Linked DNA regions of Drosophila melanogaster. The protein of the gene in region 1 interacts with the protein of each later gene in a pairwise test. Each region holds a gene or a part of one and is shown on either strand. Other genes may lie near its edges.

What was found.
Region 2: the proteins of croc (region 1) and Sox102F interact in a two-hybrid assay, tested with the Drosophila melanogaster proteins (one large-scale study listed by BioGRID).
Region 3: the proteins of croc (region 1) and CG42741 interact in a two-hybrid assay, tested with the Drosophila melanogaster proteins (one large-scale study listed by BioGRID).

What each region holds. Positions count from the first base shown.
Region 1 is NT_037436.4:21,471,355-21,480,043, reverse strand, and holds croc (crocodile), read left to right. Parts: upstream 1-3,564; 5' UTR 3,565-3,849; coding exon 3,850-5,376; 3' UTR 5,377-5,911; downstream 5,912-8,689. UniProt on the Drosophila melanogaster protein: Required for the establishment of head structures.
Region 2 is NC_004353.4:829,738-838,570, forward strand, and holds the start of Sox102F (Sox102F), read right to left. Parts: upstream 4,657-8,833; 5' UTR 3,642-4,656; intron 1-3,641. Other genes in the region: fd102C (forkhead domain 102C), read right to left, coding at 7,472-8,833.
Region 3 is NT_033778.4:23,038,288-23,046,935, reverse strand, and holds the start of CG42741 (uncharacterized protein), read left to right. Parts: upstream 1-3,992; 5' UTR 3,993-5,315; coding exon 5,316-5,327; intron 5,328-5,557; coding exon 5,558-5,593; intron 5,594-7,916; coding exon 7,917-7,974; intron 7,975-8,648. Other genes in the region: twi (twist), read right to left, coding at 1-453.

The DNA.
Region 1 (8,689 bases):
AGTGGCCAATATAGACTCCGAACCATAACTCTGGAACCACCCCAAAAAAACCAAAACGCAAAACAAGTCGAGGGGGTGCGGGTTGAAGTATCTACAAGTTTTGTGGCCACCGGAAACTGCAGTGTGCGAGGGAGAGAGCGAACTGTAGGCAACGCCATCGCTGCATCCCTTTCCACAGCTGGCCACGCCCCCTTCTCAATTCTGCGCAGTCGTTTTTGCGAGTGTATTTGTGTGCCGCCTGTCTCATATTGGCAGAGAGAAAGAGAAATTGTTGCATATTCATGAGAGAGAGCAGCGGAGCGTGCGTTCGTATGCGTGTATCTGTGTGTCGACGTGTATCTGTGTGCGTTACTTTACTCTCTGCGTGCGTGTGAGTGACGCTTATTTCAAAGATCGAAACCGCTTTATCAGCATTTTTCCTGCATTTCCTTTCCTGTCCTTCCCAACGAAAAAAAATTGTATTTTTTTTTGGCTGCTTAAGTCCTTGGTTCAAGTGTCTGATTAGTTGCACTCCCCTGCACTTTAAAATCAATATTATTCTTGGATTACTCACCCGAAAAAAAGAGAAGAAAGAGTTCTGCCCAAAAAGGGCATTGCTAAAATTTAATAATGGGCACTGAACGGCCACATGTTGGCACTCGTTTCTTCGCCGGCTGCTCCTCATTCTGCAAATGCTTCTCCTTGTCAACAGCGGTGTCAACGTTCCGTTGACTGCAGCAAATTGAGCGTGGCAAATGGGCGAGACACATCTACCAAAACTCGCTTTCCACTTGCCAAAATTATGGGGGGGTTGTCATTTCAGTACGGCAAATGTGCTTGCCAAATTGACAAATTTTGTGCTTGTCAAATAGGCGCCCATCAAGGCCTAAAGTTGATAGAACTGCGATTTGTGTTTAATGATCATTTTAATTGGGTAATTAAGGCATATTTCGGAGTCATAATCGATTAACGAAAGATAGTATTTTTCATAGGGCTATGCAGATTCGCGTTTTTAATTATTGAAAGGGACAAGACCAAGGTCATTCTATATCTATAAGATATGTTAGGAATATATCACGTAATAACGACCATTTTTCACAAAACTGCATTATTTTCTAGTAAACAACTTTTACATTCGAGATAAAAGCAGCTTTCAGCTTTCACTGCATTCGCGGAGAAAATGTTAAGTTGCAGTTTTGGGAAACTAAATCAATATTTAGATAGGTCAAATGCAGTGGGATGGCTGCAGATATAGATACAGATACAGATACGATGGAGTGGCAGAGCAGTACGGATACGGACAGCTGTAGCTGTGCAGGATGGGGGATGGGGGAATCGGACAGACAGGCAATGGCAACTACGTAAGAATAACATGAACTGCGCTAAATGCACAGACGTAGCCAGTAGACAGTTACTCACAAAAAACTGCTCACACCCACAGCGAAACCCATACAATCGCAATCACGGCGCCGATGTCGAAGACGAAATTTGTTAAATCAGCAGCAGCAATCCTGAAACTCGAGAGGAAAAAATGAAAAAAATATGGAACGAAACCAGAAGGAAGCCAAATAAAGTGCGTAAAATGGAGCATACGGCGGCGGAGTCGCCTCATTCGAATTTCAAATGCAGGACTCTCATCCTTTCGCATCCTGCAAAGGATATGTGGCCAACTGGACACACACATGACGATGATTCATAGCCTCATCCTCTCCGACAGATCGCATGCGAAAAATTATGTTAAAACAATAAAAATATTTGTCAAAATAATGCGATTGCGTTAATAGAGCCAAATATTATTCTTGTATCAATTACCCAGACGATTGGGGTTTTAAAGTGATGCAAAGCGCTCGGTTTTTGCAGACAGCCACGGAAAGTACAAATAAAAAATAGTCAGCATACTTTTAAATTATCCAAATATAAATATGTGCGTGTTTGTTTTCCCTGTGTCTAATAACCAGACAAACACCCAGCCCATCCCATTCGGCCTCTCGCGTACACACACTCACATCCACACGCACACTTGCCCTTGCCCAAATAAACATATGAAATTTACTTTAAAGCTGACAAAGTCAATAAAAAATATTGTTTTAATAAGCAGAAAATAGAAATGAAGTCTGCGAAAAAAACGACACTGCAGGACTCAACGAGCAGAGGAGTCGCGAGAGGGAAGGACGAGGCCGAAGGACTTTTTATGTTTGACTCTATCGTTATTTGGCTTGTAAATTGGTTAGTAACCCTTTCGATGTTTGGAAATGTGGAGTGAATGAGTATCAAGTCAAAAGGCGGATAGGAGATAACATAAAAACAAGTGCAATTTTAATATGTTATAAATTTATGGTACAAAACTCTACTTGTATTAACTGTTCAATTATTATTATCTCTGATTTAAACTAATCACGCCAATAGAGCAATTTTTAAATAAATAACTCGCTTCATAATAATATTGCAGAAGGGAAAAGTTTTCTACATATATATATTCATTCTTTTTGATATTAGATACATTTTAGATATTAGAAAAATTTCGGTTTTCTTTTTTAGGACATTTTAACATGAACAACAATTTAATGAATCTTTATTATATAAGGATCCTATATATAGGGTGATACAATAGTTCTTGAAAAACTGTGGAAAACATGTTTGTCTAATATCCTGAGTATTCTTGAAATTCTTACCTTAAATAAGCCTGAAAAATTCCTGCCCTTTGCACACCAAAAAAACCATTGTCAATTCAAGCGCCCGAAAAAGGGAGTTGCTAAAAACTTAATGCCTTGCCCTCAACGAAAACAACCTTCAAACGTGGCCCTTAACTTGAACATCTTGGCGAAAACCCATCAAACTGCAAATTAGCAGGCAACTTTTTGGTCTCTGCCTCTCCCGAGAAGACGAACAACTTTAAGCTGAGATCGAAAGAACTTTATCACTAATTTATGCCGAAGTCATTGGAAGGGTGAGTTAAGTGGGTGGTTGGCTCGTTTGCAGCCCCTGGTTCACCACCACCTCCACCCACTTGTGCCTGTGCTGTTGGCTTTCCCAGGTGCCTCTCATAGTTGATGTGGTTCTCGCTCGCTCTTACTACCATTGTATCTAGTATATCATGAATGCGAGATAGAGGGAGCGAGCGAGAGCGGAAGTGAGAGAGAGAGAGGGAGAGAGAGAGAGGGCGATAGGCCGTATTTTAAGCATTAGTTTAAACAACAAAAACAAGGGCTTGGAAAAGCGACGGGTAGGGGAGGAGTGCCCACAGGACACACACCGTAGCTAGCTAACTATTTTTTCCTATACAAAAAAGAAAGCATGAATGGCGTCCGCTCTCTCTCTCTCTCTCTCTCTCTCTCTCTCTTTCTCTTGGCCACACACAGATACTTTCGACGCAGCTGTGTTTGCGGGCCCACTTCACTTACTGACTGCGAGTGGCAGCCATCGTTGGTTGGCTGCAGATACACATGCAGATACGGATACATTGTGCGGGTACACACAGATACTGTGCGGCAGCGGATCGAGATACTTTCTGGTGCGGGCGACGCTCTGCCGACGCAAACGCTTCTGCTCGATGCGAGCTGTGTGTTATTTCAGTTACACAGATTCAGTATCAGACGTGTTACTATACCGAACGGTTCTGCGCTCGCTCTGCGCTCCCATTTCCCCTGTACTACAAATAGATGCATATATATATATATATATATATAGATTTATATATCTGCACTTATGTGAGCGACTTGTTTAAGCAAATATTATCGCTAGAAATAATAAGAAGCAGCCAGTGGTGAAGTGATTAAGTTCGAGAAAGAAAGCAAGACAAAAGCAAGAGAGTACGAAAATACCAGAAGGCGGCAGTGGAAAATCGATCAGAAATCCGCCGGAATCGCCGCCATGCATACGTTATTCAGCGACCAGAACTCCTTTACGCGCCACTATGCCCAGACCGCAGCCGGTTACGGATCCGCATCCGCGGTGGCGGCGGCCAGCAGCGCCTCCGCTGCAGCAGCGGCACATTACGCATACGACCAGTACTCCCGCTATCCGTACTCGGCCAGCGCCTACGGCCTGGGTGCCCCGCACCAGAACAAGGAGATTGTAAAGCCACCTTACTCGTACATCGCCCTGATAGCCATGGCCATCCAGAATGCGGCGGACAAGAAGGTGACCCTGAACGGGATCTATCAGTACATCATGGAGCGATTTCCCTACTATCGCGACAACAAGCAGGGCTGGCAGAACTCCATTCGGCACAATCTTAGCCTCAACGAGTGCTTCGTGAAGGTGGCCCGCGATGACAAGAAGCCCGGCAAGGGCTCCTACTGGACTCTGGATCCGGACTCCTACAACATGTTCGACAACGGCTCCTTCCTTCGCCGGCGTCGCCGCTTCAAGAAGAAGGATGTGATGCGGGAGAAGGAGGAGGCCATCAAGCGGCAGGCCATGATGAACGAGAAGCTGGCCGAGATGAAGCCCCTCAAGCTGATGACCAACGGCATACTGGAGGCCAAGCACATGGCCGCCCATGCTGCCCACTTCAAAAAGGAGCCCCTAATGGACTTGGGTTGTCTAAGTGGCAAGGAGGTCTCCCATGCCGCAATGCTCAACTCCTGCCACGACAGCTTGGCCCAAATGAACCACTTGGCTGGCGGCGGAGTGGAGCATCCCGGCTTCACCGTGGACTCACTCATGAATGTGTACAACCCGCGGATCCATCACAGCGCCTATCCCTACCACTTGAACGAGGACAACTTGGCCACGGTGGCCAGCAGTCAGATGCATCATGTCCACCACGCTGCGGCGGCCCATCATGCCCAGCAACTGCAGCGTCATGTGGCGCACGTGGCCCATCCTCTGACCCCCGGCGGCCAAGGAGCGGGAGGCCAATCGTCCGGACACTCGCCCACCACGATCTCAACTCCGCATGGTCCCGCGCACGGGGGTTGGTATACCCCGGAAACGCCACCATCGGAACCCGTTCCTCACAATGGGCAGCAGGGCACACCCACCCACCCGGGACATAATAACAACAACAGCAGCAGCGTACTCAACCACAATGGAGTGGGCAACGGTGGCGGAGGCGGCGGCGGTGGCGGTGGAGGATCCTCCAGCGTGCTGACCAGCAGTCCCACATCGGCACTGGGTTTCCGCGACATGATCTTCGAGCAGAACCAATCCTGCCAACTGGACACCGGTAGTCCCACCGGCAGCCTACAATCCGCCAGTCCACCTGCCTCCGCATCCGTGGCAGCGGCATCAGCGGCAGCAGCGGCGGCGGTGATCAGTAGCCACCACCACCACCATCATCACCATGCGGCGCTTAGCGGGAACCTGGGCCAGCTGGGTCAGCTGAGCAATCTGAGCCACTACCGACCGCATGTGGGCCACTACCAGGAGTACGGCATCAAGTACGGGGTGTAAGCCTGTGGGCTGGATTCTCGGCGACTGGGCTGGGCTCTCTTGTATATTCCTGTAAATACATACACCATATAATATACCCAAGAACGAGTCTACACAGCCTGGGGGTGGTGATCCCTCGGGGTCCAGAGTCTGCTATCTCAGATCTTTTTGTTTCCAACTTGTTTTCGATTTATCCGTATACGAAATAATGGGGGACATAGCTGTTAAGCAACCGCATTAACGTATTGTATTGTATTAACTGTATTTGTAATTGTAGCTCGTAATTGTTATCGAATTTAGGCATAGTCCCAATTGTCTGCTACGCAATTTGTGATGGGGTTTTGCTACACAGAACATAAACTTAAATTAGAGCATTTTGTCAATAACTAAAACTACCGCATCGGATCGATCTATCATCGCCTAGTACACTAGCCTAGCCCACGTAAGCAATAATAAATTATACAACTAAATCGTAGCTATAACATAACTATCAAAACTAGCGTACCACCAATATGAGCCGAACAAAAAGTGTATTGAAAATATGTTAAAATATCTCAAATCGTGTGTTTTATTTGGCCCCTTCATATTCGGAGCGACTTTCGCTATTCCATCTGGCCATTGAGCATTTGGCTGGCAAAACAGACTTTTTACCCCGAAACTGGATAGCCCGCACGCAGAATTCCTAGATAAATAATTATTCAAGGCGTGTCCGTTTCGAGCCCCGAATGCATGACTCAACTGGCCAATTGTCACTGGAAGATGGCTTTCTGGGTAGCCGTATCATATCATTTGGACTCACTCGATCAGTTGGCTGCAGTTCCGATGGACTTGCAAACGTGGACATATGTCGTTTGTCAAGCGATCGGATAGAAAACACTTCCCCCCTTTCAGTGGAAATAATTATGCATTCGACCTTTTGGAATAATAAATGAAAATTTCCAGGAAATTGTATGCTTCATATGCACGACTAGCTATCGAAAGGTATTTACAAAAAAGGGTAACTTTAGTATTTATAATATTATATTCACTGTTAGATTGTGTAGTCTGAGCTTCTTTCTGCTTAAAAACTTGAAATTGAGGATCCTTTAAGCCACTTTATGGCAACTGACAAGATCGTATTGTATCCAGAAGAATTATATTATTATTCCCCCCTAAAAGTGTCATTTATAAACGAAAATGTTAGCTTTCTCTAAGGTTGCCGTCCAACAATGGCCAACAAATTACAAATCTTTAGTTAAGAAAACTGTGCCCCCACAGGGAACACTGTAGCTGCTCCTAATTGCCAGACAATTGCCACAAATTGGTAGAAAGTAAAACACCAGCCTGCGCAGCGTGAGTGAGTGCGAATAAATCAGTATGTTGAGCTTATTAGCCAGCGAAGTAACCAGTTACCCAACCAACGCCAAAGATCGGCAGATGAAGCGCCACTGATTGATGGCCAAAATACGCTGTTAACTTGGCGATGACGATGGGCAGCTGGTCATGGTCTCGTCTCGGAACTCGGCTTTGGATTTATTCCAATAAAGGCTGCTCGACGACATTGTCACTTGAGTGAGCGCCGCTTGGCGCCACCGCGGCATTGAGATCGCACTCGGGGAAGAAATCTGGTCATGTGTGTATCTGTATGGCTCTCGATTTGTGGCCCAATCTCCGCTCAGGTGCTTCGCAGCTGGGACGGCTGCTTTCAATGGCGGACACCGCTCGAACGCCAGTCAGTCAATAGGTTTGGCTAGCTGTTCGTAGCCCCAACAATGGAATACCTGGCTGGGTGGCATGTGAATGGCGCTCGAGTGCCAGCCAAAAGTGTGCCAAAGACTGTAGTAGGCCTGAAAGTAATCTTCGAATGGAAGACTCCACTGAGCATGAAGGGCTTGATTTTTGGTCAGATGGTTGAAATTTTCAAAATCAAATGGGCAGCGATATTGGTTGTATCTGCCAATTCAAACTGGAAAATGTAACAAAAAATATTTATAGTTGGAACCACCATTAAAAGCAAACTACATTTAAGAGATGAAAGAAAAGGATTTGTAGCGTACCGAAAAATGTTTAAATTCTTGATCATTAATATTATTATTTACATTTAATTATTGGAATGGATTAGAATGTTCACATATCCCCAAATACTGGCAGCCAAAAAGGGGCATCTCCTATCTCAATAAACTAGGCTATTCGTATCCAAAAGCTCAATATTTTCAATCTGAATATTTGGCTGATCGGTAGGGGAACGAGTTTGGTATGCAAATTCAGCACTTTTGGCAGCAAATACAGTCGGCTGGGCGGTTGACAGCAAAACTGCCATTCGATGCCATCCGGAGTCTCCATTCGGTGTGAAAAGCAACAAAATTAAATGCGAAAACAAAAAGAGTCTGGATGGAAAAGTGGCTGTATGTTTGCTTGGAGTGCAGCCGTCGCTGATTGCGCGGGTGGTCCAGAATTTACAAAACTGAATCGGAATTGGGATTCGGGAATCGGGAATAGGGAATAGGGAATCCTCTGTAGCGCAACGCCAGGCGGAGGACAAGAAAAATAAATGCGATGGCGACAAAATGTTGCACTGTTTGCTTAGCGATAAGGACGCGCCCACATACACACACACACACACACACACACACCGATACGCACACACACAGGCAGGGAAACTCGCAGGACAACAATGCCAAATGCCCAATAATCCAATCGAGCTAAAACGGGCGGAATGGTTTTCGGAATGGTTGTCGTTCGTGCCGCTCACAAATATTGACAGCTGTCTCTGTGGCTCATCGCGCAACCAGCCCGATTTACATAAATATTGTTGCAAGCCTAATTAAATGCAAGTATTAGCCGGCCAGCTGCCAAATGTGCTGCAGTCACAAGGATTTTCGTATCCACCGGTTACAATGTATCTATTCTACGACTATGACTTGGCCCCGCGGGAGATCCTTTGTAATTAACGCTGCCTATTTTTCGGACTTTTCAGCGCCACCTCCCTCCACCATTCACACCTATGTATGTTTGTGTGTGTATGTTTCCTATACAACCCCTGACCCCCTTGATATTTATTTACCTGGCCAGTTGTGTTGATGACCTGTTATCATTGCCCCGTTATAACAATAAATTCCAGTGGTCGACGCTCAATTGCCGCGGTGACAACAACTTCGCTTTTTCAATGATGGCGATGGTGATGATGATGATGTTGTTGTTCTTGCACGGTTTGGCGTTGTTTTGCCAGCTGTCGCCGCAATTAACCAGGCCATAATAGACAATGGCTCTAAAGTAAATTCATATCTGGCCGGTTTAATAACCATACTCACTTGCAGCACCCACTTGGCGGATGACATTTGTAATTGGGTGTGGG
Region 2 (8,833 bases), on another chromosome or scaffold:
AAAGGGTATCACTTCGTTTTATAGTTTTGGCTTTATATTTGAGTACACTCGCACGAAAACGTGTTGTACTGTTTAAGAAAGCGAGTGACGATCGGCAACTAGATTGAAACTGCGTGTAAGACGAAGAAGCAAAATACAGCGAAGTGGTTTGGTTTGGTCCCTTACGTTTCCCCGCATCGATGAGATATCAGCAATGCATCATTTTGCGTTGGGCGAAGCCTCAGATGCAGTCACAGTACCGCATCTGCAATGGTCACAGAGTCGTTGACTTGAACTCTTTCTGTTTTTCTTGTTATCTTTGTTTTTTAATTTTTTTTTTTTTTTTTTTTTTTTGATGCGAAGCGCGGTGATGTTTGTTTTTCATTTATTTTACTCTTAAGGCCTTGAGCAAGAAGAGAAAATTGTACAAGCATACATATGTACGTTTGTTACAAAAGAAAATAAAAAAAATCAACTGGCCAAGCTGAAGTGAAGTGCCTCGACTATCCGATATTCCATACAGAACGAGAGCAATGGAAAACTGTCTATATTTGCCCGGCTAGTATTACAAAAAGTGTATAAAACGCTTAATTGTGCCTGTTCTCAACGAACGTAATAGACTCGTTTTCTTTAAAAGCAACAGCTAATGTTTTTACGCGTTTCGCGAATATAAAACAAAAATATAAACTTCGACTATACATTTGACAATCTAAAAGTTTTGATCAAATTGTATTGTTTCAAAGAAACTCACTCTGCGGCGATGTTATTGCACTCGAGAATACGAAAACAGACGCATCGTCTGTTGATTAAAATCAGAGTGGGTGGGGGAGTGTAAATCATATAGGACAAACAAAACAACTTTTGTATGCAATTGTCGTATTGACTTGATTCTCCTCACTCAAAGATTTTACCGTTGACATCATCTGGTCAAGTAAAAAATGTAACTCCGATATTCTTGACCATCAGATGCTCAGTAAATTCAAATCTATTACCTAGTAAGTGATAATACCTTAGGAATATTATTTGTCAATAAAGTTTTTCAAAGCCTTTGCAATCCCAGAAATTTTTTTTGTTCACAAACGGCTTCGAAAATGTAGAAGTGGTAGAGCGGCTATTTTAGACACCAGCCTTTTCTGCATATTTCTGATGAGAAGCTCTTTTATTTGTATTGCATTTTGTTAGTGGTTGTACATTAAACTCCACTTTATTTAATAAAAATATAATATAGGTTATAATATATGTATATGTGTAACAATAATTTCAATCATGAAATAACCCACGCGGAAGCCTTTCCTGTGTGTCTGTCTCATAGTGTGCGATACTCATCTATGTATTTTGTAACCAATTATAACCGAAGAAACGAAATTTAAACATTTTTTGAAATTTGTTACGTTACCACATGCAATTTAAAATTTTTAATTTTGTATTTCCACAAATTTAAGACCAGCGCTTAAAGTCTAAATCATATCAATCATATGGACAGATGGACGGACATTTCCAGATCAACACTGCTTGTCTTGATAAATTTATATGTTTATTATACTATACGATTAACGTATATACTTGTAACCACCCCTATGTGTAATATGGAGTATGTTTAAGGTAAGGTACAAATAGTTTATTAGATTAATACATTTCTGAATTGTTTTTTGTTTAACAATAATATTTAAACAACTAAAGCTGGACGGGCTGTTGTGGTTTAGTTACTAGCTTGCCAAAAGGCTACCTTCGCATCGTCGATCCGCAGATATTTCCTGTTTTATTTTTATTGATTTCTTGGATACGCATTCACCTGTTGATATTTCGACTCGGTTGCTTTTTTTTTTGTACATTGCCGTAAAAAACAACAGCATTAGCGTCAACTATACAACTAGTTTTCATGCAGCATTCCCGCCAACTGTCGTCTTATGTCCTCCCGGCGGATCGACGCTATTTGCAGCATGGCTATGTGGATTCGGGCTTTATCTATATAACCCAAAACATGTTTTTCACTGCAGTTTGCAAGATCTAGACGCTTGCGTAAAAGCATGTTTGCAGGGATGGAAATTAGTTGTAAGCTTTTATGAACCTACTTTTCAAATTAGATCCTATGGAAACGCAGAGTTATGTTGTTAAAGAAACAACATTATTTGAAACACTTTTCAACATTTAAATATGCACTCACTTAATAGGTAGTTAAACTTTAACAAGATCTATTAAAGAGACGAATAGTTATTTTCTATTTTTAATAACTTTCTAATTAAATTATGCACTTAGCAGATATAAAATATTTTCCTAGTATACTTTGTCCCAAATACGATGATCAATTGCGTAATATTTAATCCAATTATTATGAAAGGATGCCTATACGAGCGAAACTGACTCCAAGTGTATTTCAAGCTTCGGTCCCGAAAGCAAACTATTTTCTTGCTTAGTTCGTTGTTGCTAATTTTTCTGTGGGCCAGTTTTGCCAGATCTCTCAGGCAGAACTGGATAAACAACCTGTCATGTTGCCCCCGTACGTACTCCTCAAGTTAAAGTTAATGATCGTGCGTGCAAATGGGTAAGCGCTGTGGATCTTTTAAAAGTGCATGAAGTATTTCTGCTCAAAAATAACTATTCCATATACCTCCGCAATTGATAACAAGTATACTATTGTAAAGTGTAAGCTACAAACCGTACAAAGCTCAAGAAGACATCATTAAGGAATTGAACGATATATTCGATGCTTCACCATCTCCTAAACCATCATTCATTTATCTGAACTCTCAGAAAAAGATGTTACAGTTCTATAATCATCGTTGCGCTTCTTACAATAGATTGGGATAGATTTGCCCGAACCACAGCATTAAAGGTGATGCCTAAAAGACGGTGGTGCTTTAATCATTGTTTTGCATTTGATTGTCTATTTGATGTAACCGAGGAGCCTGCTAAAAACGATGCGCAACACGGCCTTTTGTTCTTATGGGCTCCAGAATTTATGGCGATCCAGAGTGACACCACGGGACAACGAGTAAACAATTCCAGTAGACAGTCGGAAAGCGGCAACAAAAGCAATAGCTCGACAAGTACAATTGTGTAAGATGTTCAATGCCCATATCATTAGTGCCAAATGAAAACTAGATATCGCGATCGAATTCGAGCGAATCAAAATCAAACTGGAGTCTTACTTTAAAGAACATAAATGTAGAATTCCAATTATTAGTATGTACAGGATTTGGAAATCCGCAATAAAATACATTAATATATCTACGACTTCGTTTCTGTCCCCATTCGGCCACGGATACACAAGCACATGCGACCTCAAAAACCAGTCCACTCTGAGCCATTTCGTATACGATCTCCAACTTCTTCGAGCCAGCTACTCATGAAGCATTCCTTCCATCCTCCAACCCATCTGCGACCAGCCCGAATTTCGATTCCAGTTCCGATCGTTGCCTCAGACCTCCCTCCCCTTCCCGAAAGATATTCTCGCGTGGCAATGCACCTGTCGCGACCAATGCTTGTTTAGAGCAGCAACCGGCATAACAAACCGCGATGATTCGGGAAAACTGACCGAACCGCGGGCCTAAGATCTCAGCTTTTGGAAGAACAATGCCAAAAGTTGTGGTAGGGGAAATCTTTTACGACTGTCGTATGGGGAATTTGAATAGTGTCATTGCGGGGAAGCATAGTATACTCACCTTTTCTTACGGAACCCGGTTGATATTATATATATTTTAGTTGTACTCATTTGACTAGGTGCATCAAGGATTGTATTATCGGCCGTGGGCAAGTTATAGATATTTATAGGACAAATATATATAAATGTGATGCGTATATTTATGTATATTATCTTATGGCACTTTGAAAATTCACTTTATTTTTCTGCTTCACATTTACAGCGCCCGATTATTTTCCGTTTGTTTGCCTAACGACACGTCGATAAACGTTTTGATACTTTGGATCATGGCACATATTCGGGAATTTCTGGGCCGTACAAAAACTGCCTAGTCGCTCTCACCCCTCGAGCTATAAGCTTAAAGATATACATTTTCCCATTTGGTTTGGATTTCCAGACAACCCATTGCTAGTTCCTAATACGCGTTTTGTGTAAAGACACTACTTGTGTTCATCTTCGTATCTAATCAAAATTCCGTTGGCTCTACCAATGATGCATCGCGTTAGTCCCCTCGCTCACGGAGCTTGCAAGAGTAATTTTTGATTCGCACAAAAACCGTTTTGCACTGTTCAGCGTGTTTGAGCTTAATTGATGTTTCTTGGCGTTGACTTTGGTCCGTGCTAGGGAAAATGTGAACTACATGGAACGGTATACTGCGAAAATATAAAATACACATACATCGCTCTGAGTCATCACTAGGCTCAGTGGACATTTGTAGTGAAATGATTTGTAGCTAACACTTAACACAAATGCACAACACAGAGTACACGGCAGATGCAGATGCACGTGCACCGCATTCACATGCAAAGTGTGTTGGGTCCTATAGTGGTGTGAGTGCACGATCTTAAGGCAGAACACCCTGAGAATCCATTGTGTACAACTTGTGTGTGCAACCAAATCTTTGCAATCGGTGCATTGCAGGCTTTGAGTCAAAAGTCATTCTGTTCCGACTCAAAGTCGTGTGGTCTTATGCAGCATAGGTTAGCCCGCGCACGTGGAATGTTACCACCACTGTGTAGCGATGTTCACTGGTCACTGATTCCAATTCCACTTCCATTGCTGTTGCCTGTTAACTGCATGTTAATCATATGTTAAGTTTTTACATTAAGAGAAATTTTTTGGACATGTTTGGTTTCTCTTTCTGAACGGAATTTTCTCTTTTTTTGCAGAGAAGCAAATAATGTTAAAGAGGCGTGGTTATTCAATTTGAAATTTGGTTTTGTGACTTGTTATCCAATCGCGGCTCTGCGTTCTGTCTGAAGTTTGGTATTCTTGCGCACGTCCAGTTATACAGCAGATACTTTGCAAATTTTACGCTTCGTTCTCCGTCTCCATATATTTTTGAATTGCAATTCCACGACTGTTTTCGTTGAGATATCGTAACGCAGGTTGAGATCGCTAACAAGATTTACTTTAAGTGTATAAAATACTTACTATACGATCAAGCGGAAACGTAATGATTATATGATTATATTGGAATATATATGATTTTGTCATAATCCGCATTTTGGGTATGTCCAAAATATTTTTGGTATATCAATAAAAATTGTACAGACAAATCAAATGGAAAAATATTAATAAATATTAATATTAATAAAATTTCGGACGGTTAGAGTGGCCATGACAATATTTTGAGATCTGCTTGTATTAAACTCAGCCCTGCATTCCGATTACAATCAAATCGATTATTCATTTATTGAATTTTTGAAAATTGGTAGGTGTGATCGCTTAATTCGATAGATGTCTCGGATTGGTTTAACACTGTGCTATGTTCAGTAATTTAGGATTTGGTAAAAAACGTATAAGTTCGTCTTACAGTAAATAACTATTTTAAAGAGTTTTTAGGAAGCTCTTTTTGATTTATAATAAGAAGTGGAAGATTAAAAAACATGTTATAATACATAAAAAATTTCCTGACGTCTTTATGTTCATTTGAGTATTTTAAAATAAAAATGTTTATAGCGGTATTCTTATAAGGCATTTAATTTATTATTGTATTGTACCCTTAAACATTTAAAACTTTGTCCTTGAACTACAAAAAAACACAATAACGTTTTAAACGGAGAATACTAATAATAATAATTTTTGTAGCACAGGCCCATTGTATAAATTTCGTCTTATATATATGAACCAAAACTTTTGCTTCCAACGTCGCAGTTTGAACTTTTGTTACCATCCCTATTATACATGTATATTTTATTCAAATCAAGTACTCAGTTTTCGATAAAGTTGAAACTCGGCGTGCGAGGGTTGTCCTTGAACCAAACCAATAATGTTTTAAAAAGAAGCAGAGGCAACACCCAATGTATAAATTTCGTCTTGTATATATACACAAGATGTTTTACATATTATTATATAAAAACCACAAGACATAATAGTAGCTAATAGTCCTGAGCTTACACCATGCGCTACTCAAGCCTGTTGGAATGCCTCTCCTCGGGATTTCTAACGCTGTACAGGTCAACATATGTAAGTTATTAGTAGAGATACTTTCTCAGAAATCGCCGGTATTTTTTCAGTTTTTCCAAAAATGCTATCCTGATTTGCGAGGACGATTGGCGTTGCCATCCCAAAATTTACGAACCGCTGCAATCAGAAATGAGAATGGCAGCCCTTTACTAGTGTAGAAAGCAGGTTGGCAGCGCATATAAACTGGTGAATTTACTTTAGGTATAGATAATTACCAACAGATGGCACTTTTGCTACTGCAATTATGACGGACACTAGAATATTATTCTAGTGTCTTTGGTGAAACAGTATTATTCTTGTCTCTTTGTTAAAACGGTATACTAGATTTGCTGAAAAAGAATATAACAGGTAGAGCCCTAAAAAGGATATATTTATAATCAGGATAAATAGCCGAGTTGAACTGGGCATATCCTAAAAGCGAGAAAGAATTTCTTTCCTGGTGTTGCCACGCCCAATATAACGTTGAAAACCTTGACTTTGAAAATTGTGCTGATATTTTAATTTTCATTAGTCTTCTAAATTTATATCCACTTGCAAAAAAACTAATTGCCACGCTCACACTTTTGAAATATAATTTCATAATTTTTTCGTTATATTATGTGCATTAGCATTTCAACCAAGTCCATTCAGCATCCACAAGCCGCTCAAACTGTCATTTTATACATTTTGGGTTTTTTAGATGAATTATTTTTATGCCAATTTCTGTCGATGTCCAAAAATGTTGAAATGTTATGTTTATCAAACCCACTAGCTGAGTAACGGGTATTTGATGGTCTAGGATCTCGACTATATCGTTATCCCTTATACTCGTAGAGTACGACTAAGAAGGAAGCGTTTCCAACCATATTGTTGACCCATGTTGCCACCCCCACTCTAACGCCCACAAACCGCCGAAAACGGTCACGCCCACACACTTTTAAACGATTTCAAATTTGTTTCTCATTTTATTCTCCTTAGTAGCCCAAAGTATCTGAGACCCATGCATTTTTGATAATTGTTATTTATTAATAAACAGAAAGATATAATTAAAATAAAGTCTTGAGTACTCATTTTTCTTGGTCAGACCCGGCATTTTGTGTGCTAAAGATTTGTAATGACTAGAACTGGAACCGTGCTGAAAATGTAACCTTTTTAATATCAAGATGACAGAAATTTGAATTGTTTTGTTCACTAAATTTATTTTGAAATCTATGAAGTTTAACAATATTTTAACATTTGTTATGCACGTTTAAATATTAGTCTACATTGAAAGAACTCTATTTAATAAATATAAATTTATGGTATGAAATTTTGTGGGTGGGTGGTCAGTTTTTAATATTGTTTGTTATATAACTTTAGACAATTAGTTCTTTTATTGTAGTTTCTTGCCAATGAAATTATCTTTTACTTTTGCGAGAGAATTTCTATTTTTGGAGGCGGCGTAATAGAGGAAGTGCGCGAAGTATTTGATGCATCTATACTTGCTCGTCGTGCAGCTGCGGCAATATACGACCCGTAGTACCTACTAAGCATGTGTTGATCAACCTGGTTCAGTTCAAGATACGCATCTGAAATGGGAACTGACAGGGTTGATGTTTTCGCAGTAGCCATTGACGATATGAGTGCAGTTTGGGGCGCGACAATGCACTCTTGTATAGGACATTCCTCAAGTGAGCTTGACTCCTCGTGTTGGCTACTACTGCTACCCAAGGACCTGGCTGCGGAGCTGGCAATTGAAAAGTTGTGCTGTTCAAGGTCTTCTGGATCGTGGTCGGGGTCATGATCGGGATCGGCATCAAATGAAGATAGCCTGCCATCGATTAGGTACGAGTTATTGTCCTCAATGGAAAATATTTGCTTCAAAGTGCCCCTTGTTTTTTTCCTGTCTTCCCCATCCGTATAAGAATCAGTATCAGGAATAATGCTATCGTCTACCACGTCGACATTAACTTCTACATCAATATCAGCGTCTATGTCTGCATCTTGCACAGGTTTTTCTAATCCCAACACAACTTCGCGGTGTATTGTTTGCTTGGTAATGACAGTATGATGAGTTTGAGTTGTTGTCCTCGCCGAAGTGGTTGGCGTAACTGACGACTCCTGGTCTTCAGAGACAATATCAACGATTTGGACATCGGGTGCCAGTAGCGAAGCCACGTCAAACTGGCGCTTCCGCGTCTGCGAAAACATATTCGCGATTGTTGTTGTCGTGGTGGAGTTGATATAGGCAAAGTGCTGATGATGGGAATGTGGCTGCTGGAGCTGAGTTGGTTGGATTGTCTGATCTAGGTTATTCGCCTCTTGTCGTTGCATTAACAAGGCTGGATCTGGTGGGGAATAATGCGTCATACCAGGTGCTGAGCTCCTGTTAAAGAATTGGCCGATATAGTGCTGGTGGTATGGATAACCCAGGGCAGATAGTTGCAGAGCAGACTGGGAACTCGGTGGGGGTGGAGTTGTAAGATCCAAAGGCGGCGGGCTGGGCGAGTCAGTGCTGGCGTCATCCACCGATAGACCCATATGCTTTCGGACCTTACGCTGCGCCTTGCGACGTCTAAAATCCCCTTTGCGAAAATCCTCCATGTTGGCTGGATGTATTGCCCAGTAGTGCCCTTTGCCATTTGCACTTCGTCCAGATTTGATAAAGCAATCATTTAGAGAGAGATTGTGCCTGATGGAGTTTCTCCATCCCGGCCCCCGACTTCTAAAGTAAGGATAATTATCCAAAATATATTGATAAATGTCTGAGAGAACCAACTTCATATC
Region 3 (8,648 bases), on another chromosome or scaffold:
CCTCTTGCCGTGCTCGTTCCAAGAGGATCCGCTGCTGGCCTGGCCATCGAAGCCACTCGGATTGTTGCCGGAGCTGTTGGTGTTGCTGCTGGTGTTGTTGTTGTTCAGCTCCAGACTGGTGCTCTGGGCACTCTGGTTGCTGCTGGTGCTCAGGACCTCGTTGCTGGGTATGTTGTAGTCTGTGTCCTCCAGTTCGGTAATACCATAGGCGGCGTACTCCGAGGGCAGTGGGGCGTACTGGGCATGCTGCTGCTGGTGGTGCTGCTGGTGGTGCTGGTGGGAGTGGAGGTGCTGCTGCTGGTGCTGCAGCTGATAGCCGGACTGCATGTAGGCCTGCTGCTCCACCTGTATCAGCTTGATCACATTGTTCTGCAGCTCCATGATGTTGGGCAGTGTGGGCTTGTAGCTTATGTCCAGCAGCACTTTGGGCGACACCGAGCGAGCGCTCATCATTTGGTGATCTTGCTTGGCTTTTTAGCGCACTTCTTCAGTTAGAATTTGTGGTATCTAACAATATATTCTTATTTCGGAACTGTATAACTCCGTAGATATTCTTCACGCCCGCGTTTTGCTGGATCGATCTGCTCGCACGCACTTACGGAACGCAACTGACGCAGGATCCTTCCGGCCATTGCTCAAATTGACATTTTGCGGCTGCTCGACGGCCATTCGCTGCCGCCGCTCTATCGTCGTCCCGCTCGCTCGCTTGTCTTGCCATCCCGCTCCCACTCAATGGCGGAAGCTGCGGCATCGGCAGGTATGACGTCAGGCGGCGGGGGATTTCGATTTTCTCGAGCGGCAGCGGCGGCTGCAAAACGAAAATACAGCAAATTCAAAGCTAAATTGAAGAGAGCCTTGACTCGACGCTCTGGATTTTTCTGTTTCTCTTGGGTTATTCTTTGGGTTTTCTCTCGATTTGGGAAAATGCCTGGGAAGTATGCGTGTTGGGATGCGGGACGGGGAATACGAGGGGAATTGTCGGCAATTTTTGAAATATTTTACTTGTTGATTCAAAAAGGGGATTGAGAATATCTTTGGATCGACGGGAATTCATAGGACAGAGTTTCTAAGTTTTGAAAAAGTGCATTCAGAGTAATGATAAATTATGTTTATTACATAAAAGCATTTCCTGAAAATTGCATTCTGGTAGAAAAGATTTTGTTTTGCAATTCCCAATTGAACATTTAGTAAACTTCATTGAATGTTGTTGTTTGCAGCGTTAGTTTAGGTTTAGACAAGAATTTAACTTAAAAACTTGAAATGATATGGAAATAAGTTATATTCTTTTTGTAAAAAAAAAAATAAGACGCAATGAATCTCCCCTGATCAAAAACACGAAAATCCACATAAATCGGGTATCAAATTCATTTAGATGTAAGTATATATAAATCGATTATAAGTTATATCTATCTGATTGCATATTTACCCAATCAACTTTGCTGTGCGAGGATTTTCCATTTGTATATACTTTGGGATCGCAGGAATTTCCCAGGAAACAAGCCGAAATGTTTAGACGCTCGCCCATCGAAATCATTCCGCTATTAAATAATCATCAGTTAGTTGCCAACCATCGTAAAGCGTGCAAATCCACAACCCTAACCGAGGGGAACTCCACGAAAAGGTTTCATTATGCCTAATTAGTGAATTCCCACACACACGTACCGAGAAAATCGCAGGCGAATGCGGCTCGGAGCTCCGAAAATCCAGAAAAATACGAGCGAAAAGTCAAATTTCCGGATATAATTATCTGTTTGCCTGCCGGGGCCACCAAAAATACCCGATTAATGCAGAGCGCGAACTTCCGCTGGAAAAAACCACGATCGAAGATCTCCGATCGCAGATCGCCGATCGCCGGCTTAGGTAATAGCAAAACCCAGGACTCGAAATGGTCCCCTTAGAAAAACCACCAACAGGGTTTTGCCCTGTCCCAAAACTACCTGGACTTAGGAGCTTGGACATGATGAGCAATATGATTTACTGCCCTCAGCACATTTATTATTATTGTTATAAAACACAAAGTAATATAAGCTTAAACTATTGGTCGGTAATTAATGCAGAAATATACTTAACGATGAGATTATTTTTAAAGTAAGAGCGAATTTTGTGTTCTTATTGGTCAAAAAGACAAAATAAATGTTGCCAACTTTTTGGATAAAGTGTATAAATATATTTTAAGATAATCAATCTCAATGCGCGCCTGAAAGTATGCATTGAAATATGTGTTTTAAATGCAATTTTAGATCATGCCTTTAAATTAGACATACATATGTGAAGTAGCTCGCGTGAATATAACTTAGGATAACTTGAGGACATGTATTTCTTGTTTCACTAAAAATACAAATAATTTTAATAAACATATCTTGCCTTTATTTTCCCTGGCAGATGGCGCCAAAGTGAGTGTAGCAATGCTGTACATACAACCATTCAAAATGATCTTAATGTTCAAATTGGACACGCTGCAGTCACGTAGTTTATTGATTTCAATTCCGTTTACGAGCCCAAATCAAACGAAAAAAAAACCAAATGAGAGAGAAGCTGGAAAAGGTATTTTGCGTATTACTTTTTTTCACGGATGCTGCTTCTGTTTTTCATCTCTTGTCGTTTTTTGCGGCTCTGCGTGGTGCGATTGCCAAACGATTTCCAAGCGCACCAACTTTCCATTTTGACAATGCTCTAATCCTGCCATCGCAAAAACCATGTGTGTGGCAGTGTTTGCGGAGCGTGAGAAGAAACTTTTGGTGCACGTAAATCTCGCTCGACAATCAATTAAAATTAAAATATTTTTTGCCTGCCAAGCGCGCAGCGTTGTCTACATATTCGAATTGACTTTTGATGATGTATCACGATTTATTGTTACCAAAAATGGTCGTCAAAGCGCGTGGAAAAGTGGATCAGGTAGTCTGGCGACGTCTAACGGGTTGGGTGCTGGGATCAAACGGGGCGGTGAGCGGTCGGCGGGCAAACTCCCACAGCTTTTGATCTTACAGTGGAAATACCCTACATCGGATAGAAATTTCTGCATCTGAAAATGAGCTCTTTTTCATGGAGTCTATAAATTTGTGAGTAAATTTAGATCTCAGTATAAATGATAAATTAATCTTTATGAAAATTCTTCTTGTTAAAACACTTTTGAGTTGTGCTTAGATAAAATAAGATTTGATTTAAAATTTATTGTCCAATTTATTACCCAAAACTCAGTTAACAAGCACAAATGCCTTTACTGAAATCATGAAATCATTTTTAATTTCTTTAAATTGCAGATGGCATTAACCTCTGTTCTTCTTTAAAATTATAAATTGTTCTTGAAAATGGTTATATGTAGATAAATATTTATTAAACTGTATCCTATATGGTGGATGCAAACAGTAAGGTTGATTAGCGCATACTAACTAGATTTAGCGAATTTCGACTGTGCTGAGCTGGCAAAAATCGTGTGCGATGCAGCCTCTGCGATTAGGAATAAGTCGCTTGATGGAAGCCGCGGCTGCTGTCAGCAAGTGCTCCAAAAAGTATCTTGCGCTTGTGTTAATTGCTCCCACTCACCGCACACATATGACCCACCTGCCCCACCTGCGCCACCCCCACCCCGCGTTCAAGGGGCCGTCAGCCAATGAAATCGCTGGCGCCAAACACCTACACTTTGAGCTTGTCAAGCTTCTGTCTGCGTGTGTGTGCTGCATGTTAATTAACAGCCAGCACAAACACACACACCTACACGAGTGGCAAAAGCGCTCACACACACACACACGCTGGCGAACATGGGTGGGGGCTCTCACACACACAGACGCGCGAGTGTTGGCCACCCAATAACATAAGCGCCAACTTGTCATTTTAGCCTAGCTCCACCTTAACTAAACAAACAAACAAAGTGGTGCACACACACTAGCACACGCGCGCGCGAATGTCAAATGCGTGTGCGGAGGTGTGGTGAGTAGCGAGCGGCAAAGCTCACCACGCTCGGGGAGCCAAAGTTGGCGGTTAAAATTCGAAGAGCTCAGAGCAAGTTTGCTCCGCGCCGCGTTCAAACGTGCTGCTACGTGCGGGAAACGCTTCTTTTTTCCTTGCTTTTTTTACTCACATCCATGCTCAGTTGAATTGGAACAATAACAAGAATAAAGAGTACACGATTATGATATGATTATAAAATATTAGCTGACATATTCACTACGCGTTCCATTCCGTTTCGTTTCGCTGCGCTTTTCCAACCGGCGTTTCTGCGCATGCGTGCGTGCTTGCACTGCGTGCTGCAACTTAGTGTTTGTGTTGGTGCGACGCTTTAAATGGCGTTTTAAGTGAAATTAAAATGACGGATGTGCTGTAATTTGCACACTCACGCTCGCTCGATAAATACAACAACAGCAGCGGCAGCAGCAGCAGCAGCAGCAACAACAACGAATGAAACCAAGAATCCAGAGGAATAAATAATAGCAAACACAACACAACCAACACACGCCGTTTGGTGGGGCGTTGTGTCCGTAGCATGTGCCTCAGTTGATCGAATTAAGTGCGAGTTTTATAGCGCCCGCGGGACCGGGAACTGCAATTGACTGCCCAACCGGAAATGCAAGCCCCCAACAACAAGTGTAACACCCCCGCCCAGGAAGCGTCGGCAATAAGTGCTAATAAGTGAGCCGCAGACTATAGATAAAACCGGATGCAGGGCCACTAGTAATTGCCAATTTCAGTTATCACCCTGCCTCGTTCAATTGGAAAAATCTGTTGGTTTTCGGTGCTCAGTTTAATTTTTATTTTTTTTTTAGTCATGCTTAGGCGGCTCATCACATATTTGCTTAAGTAGCTAAGCAACTAAGTAATTTCGTCACGCACTGCGCGCGCTGCATTCGTTACCCCACAAAATGCGGCTTATGCTTCTGCTACGGTGGCCCCCTTCCCCGCAAAGGGTAGCCCCCCGCCACCGAAACGCATAAACAAGTTGCAAATAAAAAAAAAAGATAAAAATAAAACTAAATAATACAAAGAAGCGCAGAAGGTTAAAAAAAAAGGGTAGAAAACAAAAACTCAAGGTGCGTTGCACTCGTTTTGTCATTGATTCCGCGGATGCGAAATAGCATGCGGCAGTTGCAGGCAGAAAAGAGCACGGGCAACAGCTGCTGCGACAAAAGCCAGGCCAAAAGCAAAAGCAACGGCCAAAACCAAAACAGCGATTATTTCAGGCATCCGCCTCCACCTTCCCACCACCCCCTCCCCGCCAAGCCCGGTAACAGAAAACAGAAACCCTTGCTGCTGCCTGTCTTTTGTAACGTGGCCAGAACGTTGCCGGGCAATTATTATTTTGTAAGACGTTTTACAATTTAATGGTTTTCATGGTAAGTACACCGATGCGAACGCCAACGCCATATGCCATGTGCTCCCCTTTCTCGGCCACCTCTGCGACCCTGTCAGCCGATAGTTTGTTTTGGCGACTTGCGGGTTAGGGGGTCACGAAGGGGTCAACCGGGATTGCAGGGGAGCCCTGGCCAACACCAACCTGTTGCATTTCGACGCAAAGAGGGGCATTGTACGACTCTTAATTCCCTGTTTCTGCTTCTCTTTGCAGAATGGACTTGGATCCGACCCTCTGTCAGCAAAGGAGGTGAGTTCCCAGATTAACTATGGCGGTGGAGATAAGATCCGGGCGACCAGCAGAGGTTCAGAATATAGTTCTATATACATACATATATGTATGTATGTATGTATATGTATGTATATATCCCATAGTCAAATGAAGCTTAGTAAAATCTTAATAGGAACTCATTCTATAGTATCTTAGTACCTTAAAATTAAAGCTTTTCTGCAGTTTAATTGCGACTGCAACCATGTTATTTCGACGCAATCTTTTCCGCACCTAACTAATTGTTATTGCCTGCAATTTGTCTTCAATATCAGTCAAGTACAGCTCATTAGGGCCCATCGGTTTCATGAGCCACAATTACCACCGAAAAAAAGCGTTCATCAATTAAGAGCAAGAAGAGTGAAATATTTTCATGTTAGCGATACACTTCGGCCATTCGAAATGGCAATTGCGTAGGAATTCCCAGTGGGCCAATTCGTTTGGTTGCCCCATAAAACCCATCCCATCCCAGTCCGTCCCATCAGTCGCCTCAAAGCAAAAGCCGTCAGCGGAAAACGGGGAGCAGAATACCACATACCAAGCGTAAGACAATCCATAAAATTGAGTTCCATTGGATCCACGCGACGGTGGGGGAAATCGGAGCCAACTAATGTCCCGGCCATTCCCGATCGTTCTATCAATTGCGGCGCCTATGAGAAATTTCAGCACGTCCCAACACAAATTAGCAGATCGGAGGCTGCAGCGCCCCATAACAATATCATAAAGCAGCGAGTTTGGGGCAAGACGGGTGGATCGGCATCGGAATCGGAATCGGAATCTATATAACAATAAATCAGCGCGGGCAATTAGAGGGTAAAGTGAATGGGGGCCAAGAAATATAAATATAAATACCTTTGGACAGGGGCCAACATCAGTCGCATATCAATTGCAATCTCCAGCGTCGATCGCCGTCTCCCATCTCCCATCTCCCGTCTTCCATCTTCCATCTTCCATCTCGAATTCGATCTCGATTCCGATCTCGATCTGGATCTGGATCGAGATCCAGATATCGATCTCCGCTGCCGGCCAATGAAGTTGTTGTTGTCAATGTTGCGGGCCATAAAGCGGACTGGAAAGAAACCCAAAAATGCCCCTCGGCTGCCATTCGACACAATCGAAGACAAACTATCTAACCTAATGCTGGCAATGAGCATTTGTTTGTTTAAATAACTGCATGGCAGTAAGCGGCGACAGCGGTAAACAACTGCTCACATCGCGTGGCCAAGTTCTGGGTGCTCCCCCAACCCGACCCCTCTTGGCCACTCGAGCTTCTTTTCGCCCACTCGCCACTGACATTTTTTCATAATTTGCGCTACAAGCCTGACAATTGTCGTTGTTGCCCACTGGGCACACACTCTGCACTCTGCATCCATGGATGCTGACTTGGTTGTTCGCCGTCCTGGTTGTCGGTTGTCCCCGCTGGTTGTTGGTGTTGCCGGCGTTGTTCGCGACCATGTTGTTGGCATCAGGCTGCTTGGCTACCCTGCAAGTTGGGTTAACCACGTTGACTGGTCAAAAGGATAACTGAGAACTGAGGTTGTGACAACTTGTATAGCATTATTGGAAAGGTTGCCCTTTGAGCAGATTTAGCCATTATTAAAATAGGCAAAGAGTGGGCCTAAGCTTAATAACTACGCCAAGTGATTAGTCATGGTCGAAAACACCCTTTAAATATTGTAATAGAGTAAGCCTCATTTAAATAATACTGCAAAGTGTTGGCTCTGACACCCCATCCCCCGCAAAAAATGCATATGCAGTGCCAAATTAAAATTTATCCATTTTATAGCGCTGCGGGCAGCTCATAACTGTTTCTTTGTTATTTTTCGCCGCTTTTAACATTTTTTTTTTTTTTTCGGTTTTTATTGCCGTTAGTTTATTGGCTAAAGATTTCGTAAGCACATGAAATGCGCAACAATTGCGGTTTTTCGGTTTCTTCCCACTTATCTGGCCCGATCTCCCATATGGAGTAAGCCAGATATCGACGGAAGTCATTTGCGGTGGTTCCAGCTAGATGAATTCAATAAGCAAACAGCTCCCAAGCACGCACACTCCACTCCAGTCCGCTCCGCACATTTCCCTAAAAACCCCCCCAGTTAACTCCATGTTCTCGACCATCCAACACTTTCGCCCATCAACAACATTTTGTCAAACTTGATTAGCACTTGATTGGCCCGAGCAGAGCTTATGACTCTATTGTTCGACTGCATACATAATGGGCTATACTATACTGAATCTCCCCCGCCGCCCGGCGATAAACAATATTGATGACGCTGTCGATAATCTTTAATTTCTTTCCGATCCACAGGCAGAGGGCCCTCCGGTTCAGGTTGAACCAGTTGATCTGAGCTTACGTTCGCCGCGCGGTAAGTTGCTAATTATACGCTATCTAAGTTGACTCAACCTGAACTCGCATGCCGACTGGGCCGAAAACAATTAATCAATGGAATGACCGCCACAAGTTGATCACTTGAAAACAAAATCAGGTCATCTCCAGTTAGAGAACGCTGAATGTCTAGAAAAATGAGGTACAAGACCAATTTGCATTTCTTCTCTAATGAAGTTCGACTCTTTTTGGGCCTAAAGTGATGAAAAGATGATGTTCCCGGGAATTGCCGATGGTGGGTTGAGTAAAAGATGAAAACAGAAAACATATTTCAATTATGGGGATCTTGCACTCCACTCCTTGTATTATTATTATAGTACGGAAATGTAGTGCAAAACTTAATCTACCTAAAACTTCGATTTCTAACGAGGAATGTAAAATTCAATGATTCTCATAACCATGAGCAATAAAACTCTAGATAATAGGGAACCAAAATTAATATTGACCAAAATTAATAACAATAACAAATACCTCGGTTCTAATCTATGGTATTTTATCGGATCGTAAAAGAAATATTCTTGATGAGCAACAAATGGTGAGCAAACAAAATCCAGTCGATAGGTAAGACCGCAGCTCGTCGGAAACGATACAGAGATGTATGTTAAAGATTTCTATCAGCATTTATATCAACCTATGATCACACTCCTCCCATCA